Macaca fascicularis: one gene and its partners. The protein of the gene in region 1 interacts with the protein of each later gene in a pairwise test. Links are inferred from orthologs where the notes say so. Each region holds a gene or a part of one and is shown in the gene's direction. Other genes may lie near its edges.

Region 1 (4,235 bases):
ACCCAGGATACCCCCGAAAAGAGGCCAGGAGAGAAGAGAGGCTGAGGGAGAGCAGCGCCGAAGCAGCGAACTAGCAAAGGGAGAGTGGCTCCTGCCGGGGTCGGCTTTGTGGCAGGCGCCCTGCAGCCGAGGGGGTCCTGCAAACCCAGGCTGAGGAGGGCAACCAAGGTACAGGAATGAGGCAGCGGGGGAAAATGTACTGACTTGCTCAGGCTTGGAGGAAGGATTGCTCTCATAGCCAGCACCGACCTCCTCACATCCTGCCCACTCCCCCACAGGAGCTCTTTCTCTCCCTGCCGCTGGAAGCTGGCGCTCCCAAGGAAGCCACCTCCAGGAGGACCGCCTTGCCTTTCCCCTTCTCCAGAAGGATGATTCCCAGGAGCCGAAACTGGGGCAGGGGTGGCTGCCCAACCCCAGGAAGCGGCTCTTTCCTGCCCCTGCTCCCTCTTAACCATGCTTGGAATGGATCAAAGTCACAGAGAAATACCAACCTGAAAGGAAATGTTTGGGGAGAATGTTTCATTGTTACTGAGGGAGTCCAGAGTCAGCATGGGTTTTCCCTCTTGAGGGGACAGGTTTGGGGGAGCTTCAGTAGGTGGAGAACAGAATACAGAAGACTGAAAGGGTGACTAACATATTTGAAATGTGCCTGCCTTGAAAAAAAAACCTTCCTTGTTCTAACAGGGGAGGAAAGGCTGAAGGGGAGTGGAAACCCCAAACCCACATACATTCCTCACTATAAATTCCATCTGATTCCAACATTGTACACATGGTTGGAGTAAAATTTATACAGCATTGGCTGCAAAGCTTCCTGGACGAGCTCTCGATTTCTCCTACCCAAGACTGCATCAATTATTGGTCTCCGTTTGGCTTTTTCCTCTCTACAAGCCCAGGGTTGACGTGAAACCTAATAGTAAACAACAATTAACGACCTCAGCAGCGTCAGGGTAGAAGGAGGGTGATGGGGAACAGGACCCTTGGCCTGGGATGACGCTCAGATTTTCACGTGTCCCTCTAAGGAAAGACTTGAAGGTTCTCATAAGCAACTACCCAGCCAGTTGGAAAGGGGAGGAGGTGTCGTTGGGGTAAAGTGTTCTGTCCACCATCAGCCATCTGTCCACCGCTCCTCCCACCTGCCAGTCCCCGCACCCACTCTAGACGCGCAGCAGAATGAGGAAGGTTACAAAAGGAAGCTCTCTCTCTCTTCTAACATTCCCCTCCAGAAAAAGAGGAACGCAACGAAGGGAGTTCAGCTACTTTGTTGGAGCTGTGGACCGGCCCTGCGAGGCCCACGCGGGAGCGGAGGCTCCTGGGTCTCGGGCGCCGGCAGATGGCCTGCAGCGCACGGCCCGGCCCCCACGCTGGCCACGTCCGCCAGCGTCATCTCTCTCCCCCGCCTCCTACCCCTAAAAATCCGGCGGTCGAGTAGCTCCGCATCCCGGAGGGCTCCCGCTGCAAAACTGAGTGGGAAAGAAACGGCGGAGAGCGAGGAGAGAGGGAGGGTGGGGAAGAAGAGCCCGGTCGCCCCCGGCCTTTTCCGGCAATCCCTGTTTCCAGGGCTCTTCCGCACCCCCCCTTCCCCGGTCGAATTACAGAAACTCCTCATTGCCATGCTAATGAAGAGCGGGGGCTGTGGGGAGAGGGTTTCGGAGACTCTCCTGGAAGAAGGGAAGTTTCTTTTCTTGCCCTCGTCTCCTTCACCCCCACCCGAGTTCCTCCCAGCCAGCCCTCTGCGCTCTTCCCTCTCCATTCCGCGCTTGGAGAGCCGGTGGCCCAGCCTCGCCCCCTGCCACGGTTCTGTGCGCTCCTCACAGCCCCATGGTCTCCCAGCCCAGCCTCAGAGCAGAGAAGGCGGCCTGGGAACCCGGGGCTCGGTGTCAGCCGGATTCCCCGCCTTCCGGTTGGGTGCGCTCCGGGCTGGGCCCGCGAACCTGCGGCCACCCGGCGAACTCCGGCCCACTAACTCGCGCCCCGAGAGAGCCGGGAGCCCTCTTCCCTTCTCACCTCTCGCCAGTTCATCTTTCAGTGCACAGTGGGGAGGGGGCGGGAGCGGGGGACGCCTCTCAGCCCCCACCTCCCGGAGGCCTGGCGGGGCGGGCAGCGGAGTCGGGCGCGCGCAGAAGGCAGCCTTTGCTCTTCTTCGCTCCAGCACTCCAAATCGGCCGTTGCAGTCGCCGCAGCAGCTGCCGCCGCCTGGGCTGCCTGGGGGGGCGACTGCACGTCACCTAGACGGCGGAGCGCCGGGGATTTAAATGCCACTGAAACGGTGATCCATCACCGCGGAAGCCGGCAAACTTTTGCAGGAGGCTCAGCCATTGGCTGACACCGTCACGTGCCCCTCCCCTAGCGTCCTCCGCCCTCCCGCCCCCCCCCTCTTGCGCACTGTACATTCATATCATTTTTCTTCTCAGGCCCCATGGAGGAAGTGAGAAAGTTGGCACGGTCACCCAGGGCTTCGCAGGACCAGGTCACTCAGTGACAGATGGACAATGCAAGAATGAACTCCTTCCTGGAATACCCCATCCTTAGCAGTGGCGACTCGGGGACCTGCTCAGCCCAAGCCTACCCCTCGGACCATGGGATTACAACTTTCCAGTCGTGCGCGGTCAGTACCAACAGCTGCGGCGGCGACGACCGCTTCCTAGTGGGCAGGGGGGTGCAGATCGGTTCGCCTCACCACCACCACCACCACCACCATCACCACCCCCCGCCGGCTACCTACCAGACTTCCGGGAACCTGGGGGTGTCCTACTCCCACTCGAGTTGTGGTCCAAGCTATGGCTCACAGAACTTCAGTGCGCCTTACAGCCCCTACGCGTTAAACCAGGAAGCAGACGTAAGTGGTGGGTACCCCCAGTGCGCTCCCGCTGTTTACTCTGGAAATCTCTCATCTCCCATGGTACAGCATCACCACCACCACCAGCGTTATGCCGGGGGCGCGGTGGGCTCGCCTCAGTACATTCACCACTCATATGGACAAGAGCACCAGAGCCTGGCCCTGGCTACGTATAATAACTCCTTGTCCCCTCTCCACGCCAGCCACCAAGAAGCCTGTCGCTCCCCTGCATCGGAGACATCTTCTCCAGCGCAGACTTTTGACTGGATGAAAGTCAAAAGAAACCCTCCCAAAACAGGTCAGTCCTGCTGGTTGGTGGATGCTCCTTGATTAATCTGGAAGGAGCTGGTATGCTTAATTTCCAAGGAAAATTAATAATTATCTTTTTTTTTAAAGGCTTTAAGACTAGTGTTGTAGTGCATGGAGAGGGTACCCAGAGGTGTTGGGGCAAAGAAGCCTCAGGGATTGGCGTGTTCTCAAGGATTTTATACATTTGGGAAGTAGGAAGTGTGTGGGGGTGGTTATTGTGACGGTAGTGTTCTGTTAATATCTTAAGGCTCCATTAATCACCGATCTGACCACGCTAATGGTTGACTTCAGGTTAACACTTTACACCTCATCACTCACCCTCCACAGCCCGATTTGTGTTGAGTTCTTGATCTTTTCTTTACCTGAGTGTTGCCATGAAGTGTGTAGGTAATCTCAAGTCGGTTTAAAAATTTTTACCTTTCCATCTCATGGCTTCCCACTTTGCCCCAGGGAAAGTTGGAGAGTATGGCTACCTGGGTCAACCCAACGCGGTGCGCACCAACTTCACTACCAAGCAGCTCACGGAGCTGGAGAAGGAGTTCCACTTCAACAAGTACCTGACGCGTGCCCGCAGGGTGGAGATCGCTGCATCCCTGCAGCTTAACGAGACCCAAGTGAAGATCTGGTTCCAGAACCGCCGAATGAAGCAAAAGAAACGTGAGAAGGAGGGTCTCTTGCCCATCTCTCCAGCCACCCCGCCAGGAAACGACGAGAAGGCTGAGGAATCCTCAGAGAAGTCCAGCTCTTCGCCCTGCGTTCCTTCCCCGGGGTCTTCTACCTCAGACACTCTGACTACCTCACACTAAGGCGGCTCCAGTCCCAGACCACAGCCCAGGCATCTCCTTGGGCTGGGACTTCTTACCCAAAGCACATGCTTAGCTTATCTTTCTTTCCATTTACAGTCTCTTCCTTTCTGATCCTATCTGGGGAGCTCCTGGCCAGGATAATATGTTTGCAGATAATTCTGGACCAGAGACTTGGTGCCGGGTTAACACCTTAATCCAGATTGGGTGCCAGCACACATTTTCTGGTGGGCCTTAACATCCCTCCTGATTTTAGGAGAATTCACAGAACCTACTGTTCCTTTCAG
Region 2 (3,461 bases), on another chromosome or scaffold:
GGCCTTCCTGCTGTGGCTTGAGTCCCGGCCAGCACCGGAAGTCCCAGGCAGGGAAACGGCTGTGCAATGACCCCTCAGTGCCATCCCTTGGGGAGAAGACCCCTGGGGACACGCTGGGGTGACTCTGTCCACTCTGAGAGGGGACTCTAGCTGCCCAGTGGGTGGCTAAGGGGGAGTAGGATGCTCCTCTGAGCTGTCCCGCCCACCCCACAGAACCATCTATAGGACCGCCTACCGCCGCAGCCCCGGGCTGGCCCCCGCCAGGCCTCGGTACGCATGCTGCCCCGGCTGGAAGAGGACCAGCGGGCTTCCCGGGGCCTGTGGAGCAGGTGAGGGCTATGCCCCTCGGTGCCTGGTGTTAGTCAGAAGGGCAGCTATTCCCCAGTCTTCCAGCAATGCTCCTGCTGCTTTTCTCAAACCCGGAACAAAGCACCACCTTGCCACAGAGCACCCACTCCCTAGCAGCTGCCCCCACAGGGTGCTGGGGACCCAACTGAGCTGGTGACCAGCCTCCCCTACCCACAGCAATATGCCAGCCGCCGTGCCGGAACGGAGGGAGCTGCATCCAGCCTGGCCGCTGCCGCTGCCCTGCAGGATGGCAGGGTGACACCTGCCAGTCAGGTGAGGCTGGCTCCACCCTGGGGGACCCTGGAAGGGGCCTGGGCACCTCCTTGCATGTCCTGGGGTTACTGCTGGCCCATGAGTGAGTGATTGTGAAGGGAGCTATGTCGGCAGGACCCCTCCCACAGGCATGGCCGCCTGACACCCCATTTCCCACAGATGTGGACGAATGCAGTGCTGGGGGGGCCGGCTGTCCCCAGCGCTGCGTCAACACCGCCGGCAGTTACTGGTGCCAGTGTTGGGAGGGGCACAGCCTGTCTGCAGATGGTACACACTGCGTGTCCAAGGGAGGGCCCCCCAGGGTGGCCCCCAACCTAACAGGTAAACTCAGCCCTGGCTGGGCCTGGCCTGGGGAGGTGGGCAGCCAGTGGACATTGCCATGTGGCTGTGTGTTAGGCACGGTGAGGGGCACTGGAACCTGGGTGGAAGGTGGTGGGGGCTCCCTCTCCAGGGAGGGAAGACGGGGCGGGAGGACAGGTGGGTTCCTGAGAACTGGGGGCAGGTTGCCTGGAGCCTCACGGTCAGCCAAGAAGGCGGAAGTGCCCGTCTGCGTGCAGTGCAGCATTCTGGAAGACGCCACGCCCCCGCTGGTGATGGGACATTATTACTTTTGGTACGCGCTGTGACACTTCAAACTCGTACCGTGAGTAATAATGCGCTGTCCACAGCACCGCATCGAAAGCGCCGCTGACACCACAGCTCCGACCTCCCTCAGCGTGGCCGGGACCCTGAGCAGCTGCGCAGAGCCATGCGCCCCGATGTACTTAGGTGGCACAGCCCTGAGACCTCTGGCCAGCGCCAGGCAGGCGTCGGGGCCGGCAGAGGCCTGGATCTGAGTCTTTGGGCTCTGCCTCTCCCTGGGGAAATGAGGGAGCCTGGGGGTGTGGGTGGGGAGCCGGCCGACCCTGACCCAGCGCCTGGCTCTGCCCCCAGGAGTGGACAGTGCGATGAAGGAGGAAGTGCAGAGGCTGCAGTCCAGGGTGGACCTGCTGGAGCAGGTGAGGCCTGGGGTGGGGCAGGTCCTCGCGACAGCGGAAGCCCAGGCCAGGATATAGGCTCCATAGTCTCCTGAGACATGGTCGCGACCCACAGATGGCTGGGGGTGGTCTGAAAAGGTCCTGGCCCTGGGGAGGCAGCTTCCTTGCTGCTGACTGCCGAGGGGGCCCTGGCCTGGATCCATACTGGGCAGAGGCAGCCAGACACTGACCAGGACCCCCAGGGCTGGAGGAACCAAGCGTGACAGCCCCCTAGACCATACACACAGCCTGGACCCAGACAAGACCCCCCACCCCCCACCACCTTTATCCCCACCAGGACAAAGAGCTCTTGCCAGTCTTCCCACTGGCCAGTGGTCCAGCTGTTCCCCTAGTTCTGCCGGGGACCCCAAGGCTGGGACCACCCGGCCAGCCTGATGCCCCAGGCACCCACTCTGCCGCAGGCTCTTCTGGCACAGCAGCCCCCTCTAGTGGACACCTGGAGCCCTGCTGCAGGGGCTGGGGCTGGAGGCTTGTGGAGCCCTTCCCCGGGGGGTCCCCCCTAGACCCTGGTGGAGCAGAGAGGGCGGGGCCGGCCCGGAGTCACCACCCTTCTGCACCCGCAGAAGCTGCAGCTGGTGCTGGCCCCACTGCACAGCCTGGCCTCGCAGGCACTGGAGCACGGGCTCCCGGACCCCGGCAGCCTCCTGGTGCACTCCTTCCAGCAGCTGGGCCGTATCGACTCCCTGAGTGAGCAGATCTCCTTCCTGGAGGAGCAGCTGGGGTCCTGTGAGTGCCCCCCACCCTCCAGAGCCCTCCTCCCGGGTCTGCGCCCAGTTGGCCTAGAGGGGCTACCCAGGCTTGGGGGTCGGGGGTGACCAAAGGCCAAGGGGTCAGATCTGGCTGGGCGGGGAGGCTATGGGGAGCAGTGACCTCTGACCTTAGCCTCATCCAACCCTAGGCTCCTGCAAGAAAGACTCGTGACCGCCCCGGCGCCCCAGGCTGCACTGAGCCCTTCACCCTGCCGTGCAGCCCCCATGCCCCTGGGCGACATGCTGGGGGTCGACACCACTTTGGTGTCTCAGTGGAAGGCCAGGCAGGGCCCTCTTGCTCTTCCTCCTCCCCTTCCTCAGGAGGCTCCCAGGGCTCTGGTGTGGGGTGGGCTGTGGTCTTCTGTGTCAATCCACCCCTAGCCAGCCCAACGGCATCCCAAGGCCAGGTGGGCCCTCAGCCAAGGGAAGGTACGAGCTCACGGACTCTCTGCTGGAGACTGGGACCCGTGGCACAGGCCAGGCAGCCCGGAGGCTGGGTGGGGCTTCAGTGGGGGCTGCTGCCTGACCCCCAGCAGAATAAAAATGAAATGTGAGCTGCTGTGTCAGTGGATGGACTCGGGGCCTGGGGGGAGGGCTCTCACCTCCTGGCCACCCCACCCAGACCCGCTGCCGGGTGCCGGCTGGCAAAGGGGGCCAAGTGGAGCTGGGAGTAGGGTGGGGAGGGCACTCCAAGGGAGAGGGGCTGGGCAGGTGGTTTCTTTGAGGCCACAGAGAGCTTTGTCCTGGGGATGTGTTGGCCCCAACCAGAGGCCAAAAAGCAAATCTCTGGCCTCCTTCCCAGTAGCCTGAGGATCCTGGCACACCTGCCCCAATTAGGCGACACCCCCCACCCACCGATGGAAATATTAGAGGGTGATGTGGGCCCACCCCTGGAAAGAGAACACGGGTGGGTGGCGGTGCCTCCACCCCAGGCTCTTAGGGAGAGCAGCTGGGAAGACACAGCATGGGCTCTACCATCCTGGTCACCCTGCCTGCCCTGTGAGTGACCACAGCTGTCCAGCCACTTCCAAGAGTGTGTTTATAAAAAAACAGC
Region 3 (3,500 bases), on another chromosome or scaffold:
CCCCTGACTTCTCAGCAGCTTCAGGAATACCTCGAGTTTTCTCAATTGCCACATACCTGGAAACATTGCTTGTCAATTGACATTTATTTAATTCTGGAACCACCACCAGGGAATACTTCATATTAAAGGAACCCTGCAGGAGCCACATATTATCAAGAAAATGGTAGAACTGTTGGTTCCAAAAGGGTTTTCTGAAGGTGGGACTCACTGCTTCCCTAGGCCAGGGCTTGTCTGAATTCTTTGGCCAAGCATGGCAAGGGTGCTGCTCTCTACAGCCTACTGTGCCTTCCATCCCTCTGTAGGGAACCTTGTCCTTAATACATGTGAAACTTACGATAGTTTTCTGAGTCCAGGGCACCTAAAAGTCAGACAACAAAGCTCAATTCTAGGTGGGGGGAAAATGCCTGTCCAAATTCCAAGGAACCCAGCAGTTGGAAAGGGAAAAAGGGATAATAGGTAAATTAGATATTAGCTATAAGTAAATAATTTAACCTTTCATCCTTGACGAAGAAAGAAACAGACACACAACATTTTTTTAACCAGGGTTCAAACTTGTTCGTGAGCACTTGATTCACTTTTCTGGGAGGTACCATAAATTGGCATTCTAAACAGATCTCCGTGTTATTCAAAAGCAAGTGATCTGGGAATACACATTGAGAAACTTGGGGACCTAGAGAGAAGATCCATTTTAGAAGCTTTACTAAAAACTGATGCCCCTGTCCCATCCACACAGAGGTGCAGGCTCAGCAAGACGGACTTTTAAAAAACTCCTCATGTGATTCTATGGTGCAGGCAAGGTTGAGAACCACTGGAATAAAGGGAGCTCAAAAGTTTAGGTCCCTGCCACTCAAAGTGTGGTTCGAGGACCAGTAGCATCGGCATCACCTGAGAGCTTGTTAGCAATGCAGAATCTCAGGACCCACCCCAGGCCTAGTGCACCAGAATCTGCATCTTTAACATGATCCCAGGAGATTCCCTGGGTTAGATTCTACACCTCACTGCACACTGCCTTGCCTGGCTTCCTGAGCCCCAATACAGGCCCATTGATTCAGAATCTTAGTAGATGAGTCCAAGGGAAGAGGTTTTTTTTAACACTCTTTCAGGTTAATCTGGTGCTCACAGAGGGCTGAGAGCCACAGCTGAAGCGATTAAGAACCTAGTTTGGAGCTAGACAAATAGAATTAGGGACAGAGCCTAGTTTCTCCCATTTACCTGATGTGTAACACTGTGTAGTCACTTCACTTCCCTGGGCCTCAAGCTTTTTCATCTGTAAGTGGAAACAATATCTTCCTTATAAGAAGATATATGTGATATATAATAACATATGGATCTGGTCCATAAAAAGTGTTTAATAAATAGCAACTAATTTTAAGTGTATTACCTAAAAAGAGAGCTTGATTTGACTTCGTTTAAAATCAGCTCTTGCAGAGCTTTCATATTTGTAGAAGTTTGGGATGGGACATTTCTGGCTTCCTCTGTCTTTTTTCTCCTCCTGGAGATGCCTTTTTCCCCTCATCTAAGAAATTTTTATCCTGCTTCTCAGGACTTTGCCCTACATAAGCCTAATTAATCCCTCATACAGGAAGAAATTTCCTATCCAAGTATCTTTAACAGTAGGTAACTATTGAATAGTCAAAGAAAATAATGCACAAAGTAGAATTCTGGCTGCCATAGTCACAGTGCATTGGGGAGGGCAAGAAGCACTTCTCAGCACTGAAATCGCACACTAGTAGTTTCCCTTTCAGTCTCACCTGCATCACCTCATCTTTTCTGAGCCACTGTGAGAAAGGAGATGGCAAGAAAACAGTGGGGCTTCAGGGAGTTAGCCAGAGAGTGACACTGCTGGCATTCACCAATGAGATGTTAGAAGACAGGAAAGAATGGCTTTTACTCAACAAATACATTTGCTCACCTCTACACACCATAGTCATAGTGGTAATGTGGTCCCTGTTCGCATGATCTGACAGAACTCTAGGGTTTCCCATACTCAAGTGCACACCCTTGTTATAATGACCACCACTCACAGAAGTCCAGCTTCCTATGAACCAGGATAGTGTTATGAACCAAGTCCAAAAATAGCTAGTCATCCCTACTTCTGAGTAAAATTTGGTGAGGATTATTGCCCATCAATTCACTGAAGAGTTTACCTTCATGAGAAGAATCTTATCTGTAGAAGATTGACATTCTTCTAACGGCCACAGAAGGTTGATACTCTTCAAATTGCTCCTTAATGCCTCAAATCCTCTAAAGCTAACAAAGGTATTCATTTCACCTTTCACATAAAGCCCATTTCACAGATAGAGATGTGCCACATGCTCACCCTGCTATAGCATCCTTCAATTATAGTATCTTTGGATTTATTCATAACTTGAGCACAGATGCCCTCTCATAATCACATCCATATCCTTAGTGCCTAAAAGATACATGGCATGTAACAGGACTCCAGTAAATGTTTGTTGAATGACTGAGTGAACTTAAAATCCAAATGCCATATGAGGGGCACAAGATAAACTGGTTTTCCTTGAAGTGTGACAGCAGACTCTTTTTTGAAAGCAGTGGGGGAAAGGCAAAGAGAAGTGACATAGCTGAACCACAAGACAAACAAAGGGGGGAAAGGGCATGTAAGAGAGCCACCTCAATGAAGGGAAGCTTTGCTAATTTCCCACTGTTGTATAGGGCTGGAGGCTTAGCGAATGATGCAAGACAACCTTTAGAAGTAGTCAGCAGAAACTTAGTTCTTCCTCTCACCATTGCAAAAGCTTAGGTTTCCGACAGGGAAAAGCAGGCACCAGTCACTTTGTGACTTCACCTCTTCTCAAGTCCAACTTGCAGACAATTGAAATCTGGTAAAAACCAATATCAAGGGTGGGCTTGAACTTCCAGTCTCAGACCCAAGGCCATAGGGATTACTGTTACAAGATAGAAATATCCCAGGGAAGGATCAGAGGGAGAAGAAGGGGAAGGTGTACTAAGGAGGCCAAATTCATTTCATAAACCTATTCTAGCCTGTTTCAGCCCAACTACAAGTGCCTTCCCTCCCTCTTCATTCACCTCCTTGGAGCCTAGGGTAATTTGTTCTAGCTTGCTACTGGCTTTGACACCTGGGGAGATGAAAATTTTAAAAGTAACTAACTTGGCATTTTTGCAGTCCGATATGAAATTGATAATGACCTAATGGAATTCAACATCTTAAAAAACAGCTTTAAAGCTGACAAGGAGGCAAAGCGAAAAGAGATCAGAAATGGCTTTCTCAAGTTGCGCAGCATTCTTCAGGAGAAAGAGAAGATCATCATGGAGCAGATAGAGAATCTAGAAGTGTCCAGGCAGAAGGAAATTGAAAAATATGTGTATGTTACAACCATGAAAGTGAACGAGATGGATGGTCTGATCGCCTACTCCAAGGAAGCCCTGAAGGAGACTGGCCAGGTGGCATTCCTGCAGTCGGCCAAGATCCTGGTGGACCAGATTGAGGATGGCATCCAGACCACCTACAGGCCTGA
Region 4 (3,500 bases), on another chromosome or scaffold:
GAGCTCAATGAGCCCAGCCCCCTCGTTTTACATGAGAGTAAATTGAGGCCAAGAGAAGGACGGTGACCTGCCCACCTATCTGGTCCGTGGCAGAGCAGGCCTGGAGTCCAGGCTTCTGCCGCACCCCTCTTGACCGGGCCCATGCCACCATGCTGCTGCTGCTGCAGCCTCTGTTTTGTCGACTCTCAGGGGCCCTGCAGCTCTAGGCCAGACCTCATAGTTTTTGGCCCATCAGCTGTTTTTCAGCCTGTGCAATGGGGCTGGGAGCGTGGGGTGTGGGTGGGGAGCTGTGACCGTGAGGTTTCTGGGAGGGGCTCAGGCGATGGGCAGGAGCAGAGGAAGCTTGGGGTGGGCTTGGAGAGTGGGACCGGTAGAGCAGCAGACAGGGTGCCAGGCCTGAGGCACTCCAGGGAACACAGCATCACCCCAAAAGCCATATTGTGGGCTCAGCACTCGTGGGGTGCTGCATCTGCAGGAGCGAGCTGCTGACCAGGCTCTGTGGTCAGTCAGGCCTGAGTGCTCTGGCCACAGCACCACTACGGTGTCCCGGCTGTGGTCTGTTACTCCTTTTTCCATCTTAGTCCTTTGGGGAAAGGACCCTCCAGCCTGAGCTGTGAGCAACCGCCCACCAGGGCTGCCCAGTGAGGCCAGGCAGGCTGTGTACTGCACGACTCCATGATACCCTTCAAGCGGTCACAGTACCAGTGGTGCCCCGTGGACTTGTGGAAAGCAGTGGCCAGGCAGGTCATCTGAGTCCTCCAGTGTTTTTAGCTGAAATGATGGGAATCTCTTCATTTACTCTGTGCTACAAGCACTGGTTGCAAGCTCGGTATTGAATTTGGAGGGTGGGCTTGGGCAGGCATCTCTGAAATGAGAGTGATCTGAAAAAGTAAACCATTGCCCCCAACTCTGGGAAGCTCAAAGAGAGAGCGAGCCATCTATATACTGTTTTTATCCCACTACTTTGGAGAAGGACTACTGCAGCCCAAGCTATGAGCAATGGCTCACCAGAGCTGCCCAGATTAACCGATTGAGTGTGTGAGTGCGTGGGGAGGGCCTGAGAGGCTGGAGGGACCTGAGTTAGTGTCATTTAATGCTAGTGTGAAATTTCCCGGTCCCAGCTGAGTGTTTGAAAATCCACTCTGTTTTCCGTAGAGGGACTTGTGGAGGGGGGGGTCCTTTGCTGCTTCAGCTCTTGGGGTGGGGAGGAAATATGCCCATTTTCTCCAATGCCCGACCCCATCCGTGAGCCTTCCTGGGCATCTCTGCCTCTCTCTCCTTCTTTTCTTCTGCCCCCCACAACCCCCCTGCTCCCATTCATGCCTGTTCTTCGGAGCCACGAGCCCTGTGTCTTTAAGGAAATCACAGCTTCTCCTGTTTTGCAGCCCTAGCCTGGCTGGCATTTCCACGGTGTGTGAGTGGCCCCTCCCCAGCTCCTGTGGCCTCCCTTCTGACCTCAGGTGGGGTCACCTGGCAGGGGAGCCCCACCAGGGGGTGACTTATATCAGGGTGGGAACGCGGCAGCAGTGGCTGGGCCGGCCGGAGCCAGGGAAGAAGGGCAGAAGCAAAGCAGAAATGTAACAGCAGCCCCGGTGATGCGGAGGCTGCCGGCTGCCCCTGCTCAGCCCACAGCCTCTAGTTCCTTCTCTCCTCTCCCTGCTCTGCCTCTTCTCAGTGACCTCTCTCTTGTCACCTTCCTGGTGCTGTGATGTTGGTCTGCAGATGGGGCCTGTTATTCTTGCCTTGAGACGGGGATGCTGAAGCTCAGAGCCATTCAGTGACTGCCCCGGTCACACGGGGGTCAGCGGGCAGAGGCCCCAGTCCCCTTGCCCTCCCCAGGTGGGGTGACTGCAGTGTGTTCTACTTGGTCTTGGGCTCCCTGGCAGGGCTGAGCTTGGGCGCCCTGGTGGTAACATTCTCGGCAATGCAGCTTTCCCAGCTTCCCCAGCTTCCCCGTCTCTCTTCCTCACTCTCCTGCCGAGGTTTCCATTAGCTCCCGTTTAAACTACTCACCCTCAAACCCTTGTCCCAGGCTCTGCTTCTGGGGAGCCCAACCCATGACATCCTCCACTGGGCCCCTGGACTGGCAGCCTGAGCGTCAAAGGTTCGTGTCCCCAGGTGACCTGGCTCATTTTTGGGGAGTGATTTCAAACCCAACCCATAGGGGTTTGGGAGGAGCTGAGTTGGGGATTTTAGTGCCTGGAGCCCAGCACCCTATGGACTGTGTGGAGGGCCAATGTGAAGCCTTCAGATTTAATTAAAAAGGAAGGCGAGAGCTTGCTCCTGCACACTGGCACGTGCAGTGCTAATGATCGGGAATGATTAGAAAGGAAGCCGTGGAGGATTGCAGGCTGGCTGATGGGATCTTGGTCGAAGTGCCTCATTTTCATTTAATTTTCTTCTTCACAAGGTCTCCCCTGCCCAGGCTGGGAGCAGAGGGAAGAGCAGGCGCTTCAGCCCCAGGGAACCTGCTCTCGTCAGTTGATCTTTGGGAACCCAAAGACCAGTTTGAGATTCAGAACTCATGCATTATGGTTTCCTACAGGAGGGTCCAGGGAAGAGGGATGGGGAAGAGATGGGGTTAGGGCCCAGGGGCTGGGCAGGAGAAGGAGGGCTGGGGAAGCAACAGGGCCCTGGGCCCCTGAACACAGGCTCCCAACTTCCCTGCATGTCCAGATCTATGGGGAGCAAGGAAAGTGCAGATTCCTGGGGCCCGGACCCTAGACAGTTGAATTGGCAAATCTAGACCAAGGCCCAGAAATCTGAATTTTAACAGCCTGCCTAGAAGATCCAGATGCTGCTGGGTGATTGGCCACACTTCTAGGAACCCTGATCTAAAAGTCCTGCCTGGAGCTTGCTGTTTGGGGGCTCTGGGGCTTCTGTCCCAGTGCTGGGCCTTTTCTGCCATCTCACAGATATGAGGGTTGTTGGGCCCCAGGACACCTCAAAGATTACATCTAAAGCTCCATTTTACAGTTGACAAAACTGAGGCCCAGTGGGCTTAGGAAATGATCCCAATGTCACATGGCTGGTGGAGACAGGGCTGCCCAGGGCTCACTCCACCACGATGCTGTTCTCTGTACCGCAAAACAATGCAGCAAAGGGGTCAGGAATGACTGGGAAGATAGGGCTGAGGCTGGGGTCTGGTGTTGGTGCTGGGGGGCTTTGGGGCCAGCTTTGTCTGAGCTGCCCCAGCCTGGACACCAGGTGGCCTCAGGTGGCCTCCAGGCTGCTCGGGCCTCCCCTAACCATACCCACACTCTGCCCACAGTGATGGGGGGCCCTGAGTCCCGTGGCGTCCTGCGCAAGATGAGCGACCTGCTGGAGCTGATGGTGAAGCGCATGGACGCACTGGCCAGGCTGGAGAACGTCAGTGAGCTGCACCGGGCTGGCGGCGACCTGCATTTTCCCGCAGACAGGTGAGGGGACGCGGGGAGGAGGCATGCGGAGCAGGGGAGCGGTGGCACCTGCCACTCTGCCCGGCATGCTGTCCATCATCT
Region 5 (3,986 bases), about 3.4 Mb from region 1:
CTGAGGCAGGAGAACTGCTTGAACCTAGGAGGCAGAGTCTTCAGTGAGTCGAGATCCAGCCACTGCACTCCAGCCTTGGCGAAAGAGTAAGACCCCATCTGGAGGGTGTCGGGGGGAAGAGGTATAATGGACAGCAGCAAACCACAGGTGTGATAGGAGAGAATACTAAGTTGAGATCAGCCTCCTAAAATATGAATCCGATTTCAGGATCATTCATTCATGTGACTGTCAAGAACGCCTCTGAACAGGAGCAGGACTTTGGGGAGAGGGTGGGGTTTGTTGAAAGGGCACCGAGAAGGGAGGGGGGTGGTACCCAAACAATTTGTTTACATAATGTTTTTTGGACCTGAAATATGTAGAAAAGTACTTTGAAAATAAAGTACTGTACCGAAGTTTAATTATTTTTCTTATTGTTTGCATATTCTCCCTCCCAGATAATTTACAGAGGGCGCTAAAGCTGATCCCCTGGGAGCTTCAGAGTTTAATGACTCCGCCTGACGATTTCTATTCTTTTCCACAATGTGCTAAGTCAAATTATGGCCAAATTACCAATCGCATGGTGATTCAGCTTCTAAATATGTTTTGCAGTGTTTCCAAAAGTTAAAAAAAACAAACAAATCTTTACCTAAATTGTTTTTACATGCTTCACCTTAAATCAGTTGTTCGGTTCCTTTGAAGAATATGCTGCTTTAGCAGCCCCCAAAGTGAACCCAGATACCCAGGACTACTGATTGTTACATCAGAGTTTTTGAAAACGCCAATACTAGAAACAGGTCGACAGTTAAGGAGAGGCGGGCCTCAAACTAAAGCAGAACCTTCTCAAACCCACTTATATTTCAAGAGATGGATTAAGCGAAAAGAACTGTACAAATAAATAAGCTATTTTCTATGCGCCTGTTATAGGCAAGGCACTGCACTCCCTTGTCACTTGTTAATTTACAAGAAGACTTGTCGGTCCAGGGAAAGGGAGAGGGGATCGAGGCAAGGTTTATGGAGGGCGGCGAACTGCACTATGCGTGGCGCGGGGCTGAGCTTGCGGAGCCCGGGGTTCTGGTGCCTGGCGCCAGCTGCCAGGTAGGGGCGCGCGTCCTGCGCAGTTGCCACGCGCGGCCTCCTTGGGCTTCAGGCCCGGCCAATCAGGAGGCGGGCGGACGGGGCGCAGCGCCTGGAGGGGGCGGGGCCGGGTGGGGCTTCGCGGTCGGCGGGCCAGCAGGGAGGGCGCCTTTGGCTTCCCCACCGGCCATGGAGCGGCTGACGTTGCCTCCCCGCGGCGCGGCGGCAGTGGACGAGTACCTGGAGTATAGGAGGTGAGGCTGTGGCTCCGGGCCGGCCCTTCGCCGCTCCGAGGGGCCACGATCCCTGGGCTGAGGGCGAGGGCAGGGGCCCGGCGGGTGTCCGCGGGGGTTCCCTGAATCTTTGCCTGGGTTGTTGGGGGAGGCCTAGATTAATTCCAGTTTCGTCTTTGCCTAATTAAATATTGTAGGGCCACGCAGTTCTATGCAATGATGAGTCTTCCGATGCCATTTAAGAGGTCCCTCTGCTCCCTTCCAAGAAGGATGGCTAACTCTAGTTGATACAGAGGTCCAACTGTTTTTTAAATGGCCATTGAAAACATTCACATCGAGTACTAGAGGCTATAGAAGTTAGCATGCATCAAATTAACCCAGTAATAGGGTCAACCGTGAACTTCTGAACGCACTCCCCACCCCGAGGTGCTGGTTTTAGGAGAAAGGCACCGACTGGTGTTTTGGTGTTCTGGAGAAACCCCTTCCGAAACTGGAAACGTAGGCGCTCCTTTGGCCTGAGGACCCGGCTAATTGTCCTGGGTCCTGACCGAGGCTGGTGCACCTGCAGCGACGCGCTCTTTTTCCGCTTCCTGGGGGTTTTGATCGTCCGGAATCTGGGCGGATGGGAAGTCCTGGAGAGGGCCGCCAGAGGACGCGGAGTTGGGGCTGGAGGATGTGTGTGTACAAGCAGAGGGGAGACGCTCCAGGCTCGGCCAGGGAGGCCGGAGCGAGCGACAGGGCCTCCTCGGCGGCATCGTTGGCGACCCACATGACCCAGAGGTGTGCGCGCAGACGGCCCCCCAGCTGACTGCTCTCCCGCGCTCCGACTGCCCCGTTGGTGTAGTTTTCGGTAACCCTTAGAACTGCCTGGAGATTCTGAGCTAGAAGAATAAGGGCTAGGAGCTTGATGGGGTCAGTTCCCACGCCCGGTTCAGGGTCAGAACAACCACCATCCAGTCGTCGCGCAGAGCAGAGCCGGCTCCTTGAGCCTCCAGTTCTCCAGAGCTATTGCCTGGGAGCAAGTTGCTGGAGCTGGTGTTGACTGATAACTTGGATATTTAGATATGTGAATTGTGGGCCTCCAGTTAATTCTTGCCTAGCTCCGAACATGTTAGGGCAGACCTGGTGGGAAATTATGTATTTATTTATTTTATTGAGACAGGGTCTGACTCTTGCCCAGGCTGGAGTGCAGTGGCGCGATCTCGGCTCACCGCAATCTCCACCTCCTGGGTTCAAGTGATTCTCCTGCCTCAGCCTCCCGAGTAGCTGGGACTACAGGAGCCCAGTTGATTTTTGTATTTTCTGTAGAGACGGGATTTCACCATGTTGCCCAGGCTGGTCTTGAACTCCTGGGCTCCGCCCGCCTTGGCATCCTAAAGTGTTGGGATTACAGGCCTGAGCCACCGTGCCCAGCTGGGAAATTATTTTTGCAATCATAAATAACTTGAAACATTTCCCTCTGAAAGAGATTATTAGGTCCTTTACTGACGTCAGGATTTTAGAAAAGTGGGGAAAACAGGACTTGAGTGCCTAGATGTGAAAAGGTGGGCTGGGAAGGTGGGGTGGGAAGATGAGTCAAAATATGAGTTTAGAAGGAAACAAACTTTCCTTCCTAAGAGTTTTCCTGGATTTGGTCTTGTCTAGGTGCTTTGGTGGGAGTCAGTTGGGAGGGGAAGCATGCAGGCTTGTTACTCACACTGTGGGAGTAACATATATACACATATATATTTATACATTTATATACAGGTATATAAATATATATATATATATATTTTAGATAGAGTCTTGCTCTGCTGCCCAGTCTGGAGTGCAGTGGCGCTATCTCAGCTCACTGTAACCTCTGCCTCCATGGTTCAAGCAATTCTCAGTGCCTCAGTTTCCAGAGTAGTTGGGATTATAGGCGCCCACCACCACGCCCCGCTAATTTTTTCATTATTGGTAGAGACGGGGTTTTGCTATATTGGCCAGGCTGGTCTCGAACTCCTGACCTAAAGTGATCCGCCTGCTTCAGCCTCCCAAAGTGCTGGGATTACAGGTGTGAGCCACTGTGCTGTGAGTTTTAATCTGCATTTGAACAAGATCCCCTGGGGATTCTGTAAGTACAATAAAATTTGAGTTGCACTGGTTTAGTACTTAAATACCAATGACATCTTACTTTTAAAAGATCTTTTAAAGATCCGTATTTATCTTAAGATCTTAATACCTGTTGGTATTCTTAATAGGTACAAGAAACTGAAATGGCCCAAAATTTAACTCAGAAATAAATGCCCTTTGTTTCTTTGCTATTATGTATCTAGATTGTCTGTGTAAAGAAGATAGTTTTGATTATTTCATAGCTTATACATTGGTTTTCCTTTTTTTTTTAATGGCAAGCACATAGAGCAATGGTTTTTATTTTCTACCTCAGCTAAAGGCTTCAAAGTATGGAAAAAAGCATGTAGCATTCTACAAATATCACTTTTTGTGACTTTTCAAGGGGAGTATTTTCAGGGAGAAATGTCTTCAGTTTTGGAAAAACTTCTTTTAGGTGTGCTTTCTTTTCCTCCAGGGAGGCCAATTCTTAATTTCGTTTCATAGAAATAGTGGGGGCTTAATATTTTCCCATAAAATTTTGGGTTCTTACTTCTGAAATTAAACAATGATAAACCTGATTACCTAATACACAAATGTAGTTTGAGCTTTTGCTGAACCAAGTGTGTA
Region 6 (2,257 bases), on another chromosome or scaffold:
TGATACTTGGGATGGTGATGGGATTGTCCGCAAAGGTATTCTACTACCATTCGAGTTTTCTTGGGGAAGGCAGTGTGCCGAGCGCGTGTGAGCGTGTTTGGGGCTTGTCCAAGACTGTCACTGCTTGAAAATGGGCTTTTCTTCGAATCAGAGGTGGCGAATTTTCTTTGCTTTTCATTTTTTGTCTGGTAACTTCATTTCTCAACCAGTATGAAGTTTGTTACAACTGTCATTGGAAATGCAAATTAAAGTTGTGCCTGGTGTTTTGAGTTACACTATTCAAATCCTCTACGGTTTTGCGTTTCGTGTGGAATCTGGCTTAGTACTTGTAGCTACCTTTTGCTTTCAAAGCACTGATTTAAGAAGTTCTTGAAGAAGAGGAATAATTGTTCAGGAGTCAGGATTAGATGTTGAGGACTCCAAGACCAAATCTCCGCAGGTTATGAATGTGTTACTCCTCCTGCGCAAAGAAGGTAGAATAAAGTAGAAACTTGAGAGAGCTGAGTTGTGAAAACGAGGGGGGAGCTCCAAGAAGTTAACATAGAAGGCATAGTTTAGAGACATTAGTTTAGGAAATATACGAAATGGACTTCTTTCTGCTTTCTGCATGGTTTATTCCTTAAACCATGTTTTTTTGCCTCAGGTTGGTAGTGGAGAATGGACATTTCTTTTTCTTTTCATTCTTGAATTGGGTCGACTCTATAGACTTTAGAAGGAATTTGTGTGAAAAATGCTCTAGTTCACCACTGAAAGCAGAAACTTTTATCTTTGGTAGTTTGTGAAGAACACATTATAAATTAGAAATTTACTATGAGTATGGAAACACAACTGCTTATTTGTATCTGGATATTAGTGTGCTGATTTTGTTATAAGAAGCACATTGAATCAGTTGGCAGTGCTTTTGAAAATCAAGGTCTGTCATGTAAATACAGATTTTTAAATTAGAGGAAATACAGATAATTAAAACGGCCAGGATTTAAATACACTGCGTATGTACCTACACTACACTTATTTGTGCATAAAACTTGTTTTGTGAGTGAGCCCTTCAGCTTAAAAAAAAAATCCTCTCAGGATTTCAAATGTGAGTACTGTTACATCGTTCACTGGACTATACATTGAGTCTTGTGTGTGTGTGTTTGTAGCTACGAAACACCAAGAACCGTTGTGTACCTGATACATTTATTTTTGCATCTCATAGATGAATAATAAGGTAGTTTTAAAATTCTGATTTATACAGAAAGTTACCTTTTATTTTGCGATTTCATTTTAGAGTCTTAATTTTTTTTAATGCCTTTATTTTTTTCATCATTAATCTAATGCTTATAACAGCACACAACAAAAAGGCTGTAGCACCAAAGCCATTCTCAGTTTCTTAAAAGGTAGACATTCTCCTTTATGGAAACCACCTATGAACTGGTAACTGAGCTTTCTTTAGATGAGAGTTATTCTCCTGCTTATACTCAATATTCCCTGCGAAGGCATGCTCCATTTTGATTGTTAGATTCACAAACAGGAAGGCATTACTTCCTCTTGATTCTGCTTCTTAAAAGTTGGAAAAACTTGTAATGTTTATGGCATGGGGTCTCTTGTTTACAATCTTCCTCTATGATGTGGTCCCCAGCCTCTCCTGGAATTGGACTCTGGCCAGGACCCCAGCATCATTGTAATCCACTGATGAAGGAGGTCATTATTAGGTGGTTTAGTCAATTTGTGACTTGACAGGATTTCCCTCCCCCCACCCCCGCAAAAAATGCTTCCTGTCATTTATTTTCTCTGTTTTTTTCATCTTTGATTTCCTTTTAGGATTTCAGATGCATGCCAGGTTTCCACTGATTGCCAGAACTCAAGATCACTACACATGGATCCCCAAAATCAACATGGCAGTGGCAGTTCGTTAGTTGTGATCCAGCAACCTTCTTTGGATAGCCGTCAGAGATTAGACTATGAGAGAGAGATTCAGCCTGCTGCTATTTTGTCATTAGACCAGATCAAGGCCATAAGAGGCAGCAATGAATACACAGAAGGGCCTTCAGTGGTGAAAAGACCTGCTCCTCGGACAGCACCAAGACAAGAAAAGCATGAGAGGACTCATGAAATCATACCAATTAATGTGAATAATAACTACGAGCACAGACACACAAGCCACCTGGGACATGCAGTACTCCCCAATAATGCCAGGGGCCCCATTTTGAGCAGATCAACCAGCACGGGCAGTGCAGCCAGCTCTGGGAGCAACAGCAGTGCCTCATCTGAACAG
Region 7 (3,500 bases), on another chromosome or scaffold:
CACATGCACACACACGTATTTGCACAGTCTCATTAATTTTTTTTTTTTTTGAGACGGAGTCTCGCTATGTCGCCCAGGGTGGAGTGCAGTGGCCGGATCTCAGCTCACTGCAAGCTCCGCCTCCCGGGTTTACGCCATTCTCCTGCCTCAGCCTCCCGAGTAGCCGGGACTACAGGCGCCCACCACCTCGCCCGGCTAGTTTTTTGTATTTTTTAGTAGAGACGGGGTTTCACCGTGTTAGCCAGTATGGTCTCGAACTCCTGACCTCGTGATCCGCCCGTCTTGGCCTCCCAAAGTGCTGGGATTACAGGCTTGAGCCACCGGGCCCGGCCTACAGTCTCATTAATTAATTCAACAACAAAACACTATACTGAGATAACCAAGGGAGAATTCTAACCTGCCAAGCTGGGCTGAGCAGAGCCTGAAGGATCTGATCGGGCACCTGTCCGTGTCCCTGGGTCTGACTGGGGACGGTGGGGCTGCTTTTGTGCTCTCACTTGTAGCACAAAAAGCAGGGTAGTGAGCTGAGGCTCCCGAGGGGACAGGGGTGGGGTTGAGGTGGTGTCTGGCATTCTGTGGCCGCTGCCTCACCTCACTCTCTCCAGAGCCCCGGCTGTGATGGGATCCTTGGCTCTGGCAGGCGTCCTGATGGCTGTGGAGTCTGTGGGGGTGATGATTCTACCTGTCGCCTTGTTTCGGGGAACCTCACTGACCGAGGGGGCCCCCTGGGCTATCAGAAGATCTTGTGGATTCCAGCGGGAGCCTCGCGGCTCCAGATTGCCCAGCTCCGGCCTAGCTCCAACTACCTGGGTGAGCACCCAGCTGCCTCCCTTTCACTTCCATGTCTGTTCAGCCCTCCATACCCCCACTCAGTGCAGTGAGCAAGCCAAACGGGGAAGTCCAGGGTCTGGCCCCTCCCCTTGTGGAAGGTGTGAGGAAGCTGAGAGGGCTTGGGGGGCTCTTAGGTTCTGGTGGGAGCTTCTATAGGCTGAGGACACAGTGTGGGAGGAGGAAAGTATTATCACCCTGGAATTTCCCAATCTCTCACCTCTGACCTGCAGCACTTCGTGGCCCTGGGGGCCGGTCCATCATCAATGGGAACTGGGCTGTGGATCCCCCTGGGTCCTACAGGGCCGGCGGGACCGTCTTTCGATATAACCGTCCTCCCAGGGAGGAGGGCAAAGGGGAGAGTCTGTCGGCTGAAGGCCCCACCACCCAGCCTGTGGATGTCTATGTGAGCCTGGGGCCAGGGGCAGCTGGATCCTGGGGAGGGAGGCTGTTCTCTCTAAGGGCAGAGCTGTGGTTGTCAAGATGGGAGATAGAGCTGGTGGCATCCCCCTCTGGCCACCCCCAAACATTCATTATCTTCTCTTCTCCCCAGATGATCTTTCAGGAGGAAAACCCAGGCGTATTTTATCAGTATGTCATCTCTTCATCTCCTCCAATCCTTGAGAACCCCACCTCAGAGCCCGCTGTCCCCCAGCTTCAGCCAGGTAAGACTCTGACCCCTGCACTTGGAAGGAGGAGGGAGAAGCTGCAGGGGTGGCTCTGGGGCAGTGGGGTGGCATCTGATTCACCTGCTCCCCTGCACAGAGATTCTGAGGGTGGAGCCCCCACTCGCTGTAGTGCCCCGCCCAGCCCGGACCCCAGGCACTCTCCAGCGCCAGGTGCGGATCCCCCAGATGCCCGCCCCGCCCCATCCCAGGACACCCCTGGGGTCTCCAGCTGCGTACTGGAAACGAGTGGGACACTCCGCATGCTCAGCGTCCTGTGGGAAAGGTGAGACATTGCACCTTGGACCAGCACCTCAGTCCAAGCCCCCCAACTGACACTCCTGATCCTGCATCCGGGATAGTGGGGCCACGCCCGACCCTGCATCTGGGACACCACTGAGCTTGGGCTCCAGCCTCCTGCCTCCCTGGCTGCCTTCTCACCCACTCAGGTGTCTGGCGCCCCATTTTCCTCTGCATCTCTCGTGAGTCGGGAGAGGAACTGGATGAACGCAGCTGTGCCGCGGGTGCCAGGCCCCCAGCCTCCCCTGAACCCTGCCACGGCGCCCCGTGCCCCCCATAGTGAGTATGGCCCACGGGGAGGGTTAGGGTACTGGAAACACAGCAGTTGCCCCCAGAATCTTACCTGAATTCTGCACTCAACGCGACATCTCCTGGCTGCAGAGAGACAACATTAGATTAGAAAGGCGGACATTCGGTAGGCAGCAAGAAAGCCATGGCAGGCTGAGCCCCCCAGGAACCCAGACTCCAAATGCCAAACGTGCCCACTCTCCTCTGAGGCCCCCATGTCCAATGTGTCTTCCATCTCCCCTGCCATGGCAGCCCCACATATCTCATCTGTGTCTCCATCTCTTCCGTGCCCTGCTGGTGCCTGCAGCTGGGAGGCTGGTGAGTGGACATCCTGCAGCCGCTCCTGTGGCCCTGGCACCCAGCACCGCCAGCTGCAATGCCGGCAGGAGTTTGGGGGGGGTGGCTCCTCGGTGCCCCCCGAGCGCTGTGGACATCTCCCCCGGCCCAACATCACCCAGTCTTGCCAGCTGCGCCTCTGTGGCCATTGGGAAGTTGGCTCTCCTTGGAGCCAGGTGAGTGCGCCCGGGCAAGGTGCCGGGGAGGGGATGGGCACCGGTGAACAAGAGCAGCGGTTTTTCAACTTCTTTTTCATCAGCAGAAACTATTTACAAACAGGGTTTCATATGGACCCCCAATATAGAAGTCAGATAAGGGACTGAATCAGGGATTGGGGGCCCGGGGCCCTAGGGCTCAGCCTCCTCCTCAGCCCATGAAACCATGTGACTGCTGGGCTGGGGATCGAAGGCAGAGCCTGGTTCTGAAGCCCTAGAGCTGGAGGCTGGCTGAGAAGCCCAGCTCCCTGGATTCCCCTCGCCCCCTCAGTGCTCCGTGCGGTGCGGCCGGGGCCAGAGAAGCCGGCAGGTTCGCTGTGTTGGGAACAATGGTGATGAAGTGAGTGAGCAGGAGTGCGCGTCAGGCCCCCCGCAGCCCCCCAGCAGAGAGGCCTGTGACATGGGGCCCTGTACTACCGCCTGGTTCCACAGCGACTGGAACTCCAAGGTGAGCCCCGAACCCCCAGCCATGTCCTGCATCCTGGGTGACCATGCCCAGGACACCTCAGCCTTTCCAGCACAGCTCAATAAACTTGTATTGATCAAGTGCCTGCTATATGCTTGACGCTGGGAACTCAGAGGTAAGTGAGAACAACTTCCATGAGGGGCCCAGTTAGGATTCCCCGTCCAGGCCTGGTACCTGGGGACGTTCCCTACCGCCCAGGATTCGGACCCAGGATGCATCCCTCCCTGCCCCCTCTCCTGTCCCTTGTGCCAGTCACCAGCAGGCCCCTCACGCAGGCCGCTCTCCTCCTCCGCAGTGCTCAGCCGAGTGTGGGACGGGAATCCAGCGGCGCTCTGTGGTCTGCCTTGGGAGTGGGGCAGCCCTCGGGCCAGGACAGGGAGAAGCAGGAGCAGGAACTGGGCA

Evidence for each region.
Region 2: the proteins of HOXA1 (region 1) and EGFL7 interact in binary tests that used the Homo sapiens proteins (3 or more experiments, as listed by UniProt). The link is inferred for Macaca fascicularis from reciprocal best matches to the Homo sapiens genes HOXA1 and EGFL7.
Region 3: the proteins of HOXA1 (region 1) and TRIM42 interact in binary tests that used the Homo sapiens proteins (3 or more experiments, as listed by UniProt). The two-hybrid records come from large-scale screens. The link is inferred for Macaca fascicularis from reciprocal best matches to the Homo sapiens genes HOXA1 and TRIM42.
Region 4: the proteins of HOXA1 (region 1) and MGAT5B interact in a two-hybrid assay, tested with the Homo sapiens proteins (2 studies listed by BioGRID). The two-hybrid records come from large-scale screens. The link is inferred for Macaca fascicularis from reciprocal best matches to the Homo sapiens genes HOXA1 and MGAT5B.
Region 5: the proteins of HOXA1 (region 1) and FAM221A interact in binary tests that used the Homo sapiens proteins (3 or more experiments, as listed by UniProt). The link is inferred for Macaca fascicularis from reciprocal best matches to the Homo sapiens genes HOXA1 and FAM221A.
Region 6: the proteins of HOXA1 (region 1) and SPRY1 interact in binary tests that used the Homo sapiens proteins (3 or more experiments, as listed by UniProt). The two-hybrid records come from large-scale screens. The link is inferred for Macaca fascicularis from reciprocal best matches to the Homo sapiens genes HOXA1 and SPRY1.
Region 7: the proteins of HOXA1 (region 1) and ADAMTSL4 interact in binary tests that used the Homo sapiens proteins (3 or more experiments, as listed by UniProt). The two-hybrid records come from large-scale screens. The link is inferred for Macaca fascicularis from reciprocal best matches to the Homo sapiens genes HOXA1 and ADAMTSL4.

The regions. Positions count from the first base shown.
Region 1 is NC_088377.1:103,176,087-103,180,321, forward strand, and holds the start of HOXA1 (homeobox protein Hox-A1), read left to right. Parts: upstream 1-1,435; 5' UTR 1,436-2,266; intron 2,267-2,388; exon of another isoform or gene 2,389-2,411; 5' UTR 2,412-2,482; coding exon 2,483-3,134; intron 3,135-3,595; coding exon 3,596-3,951; 3' UTR 3,952-4,235. UniProt on the Homo sapiens protein: Sequence-specific transcription factor. Regulates multiple developmental processes including brainstem, inner and outer ear, abducens nerve and cardiovascular development and morphogenesis as well as cognition and behavior.
Region 2 is NC_088389.1:2,680,368-2,683,828, reverse strand, and holds the end of EGFL7 (epidermal growth factor-like protein 7), read left to right. Parts: intron 1-213; coding exon 214-329; intron 330-525; coding exon 526-621; intron 622-780; coding exon 781-942; intron 943-1,554; coding exon 1,555-1,619; intron 1,620-2,221; coding exon 2,222-2,384; intron 2,385-2,556; coding exon 2,557-2,579; 3' UTR 2,580-2,961; downstream 2,962-3,461. UniProt on the Homo sapiens protein: Regulates vascular tubulogenesis in vivo. Inhibits platelet-derived growth factor (PDGF)-BB-induced smooth muscle cell migration and promotes endothelial cell adhesion to the extracellular matrix and angiogenesis.
Region 3 is NC_088376.1:43,541,331-43,544,830, forward strand, and holds part of TRIM42 (tripartite motif-containing protein 42), read left to right. Parts: intron 1-3,148; coding exon 3,149-3,500.
Region 4 is NC_088390.1:83,314,170-83,317,669, forward strand, and holds part of MGAT5B (alpha-1,6-mannosylglycoprotein 6-beta-N-acetylglucosaminyltransferase B), read left to right. Parts: intron 1-3,271; coding exon 3,272-3,419; intron 3,420-3,500. UniProt on the Homo sapiens protein: Glycosyltransferase that acts on alpha-linked mannose of N-glycans and O-mannosyl glycans.
Region 5 is NC_088377.1:106,595,011-106,598,996, reverse strand, and holds the start of FAM221A (protein FAM221A), read left to right. Parts: upstream 1-1,186; 5' UTR 1,187-1,242; coding exon 1,243-1,307; intron 1,308-3,986.
Region 6 is NC_088379.1:128,449,869-128,452,125, forward strand, and holds part of SPRY1 (protein sprouty homolog 1), read left to right. Parts: exon of another isoform or gene 1-35; intron 36-1,803; 5' UTR 1,804-1,858; coding exon 1,859-2,257. UniProt on the Homo sapiens protein: Inhibits fibroblast growth factor (FGF)-induced retinal lens fiber differentiation, probably by inhibiting FGF-mediated phosphorylation of ERK1/2. Inhibits TGFB-induced epithelial-to-mesenchymal transition in lens epithelial cells.
Region 7 is NC_088375.1:110,694,268-110,697,767, reverse strand, and holds part of ADAMTSL4 (ADAMTS-like protein 4), read left to right. Parts: intron 1-605; coding exon 606-810; intron 811-1,061; coding exon 1,062-1,234; intron 1,235-1,381; coding exon 1,382-1,493; intron 1,494-1,593; coding exon 1,594-1,779; intron 1,780-1,942; coding exon 1,943-2,072; intron 2,073-2,388; coding exon 2,389-2,593; intron 2,594-2,903; coding exon 2,904-3,080; intron 3,081-3,393; coding exon 3,394-3,500. UniProt on the Homo sapiens protein: Positive regulation of apoptosis. May facilitate FBN1 microfibril biogenesis.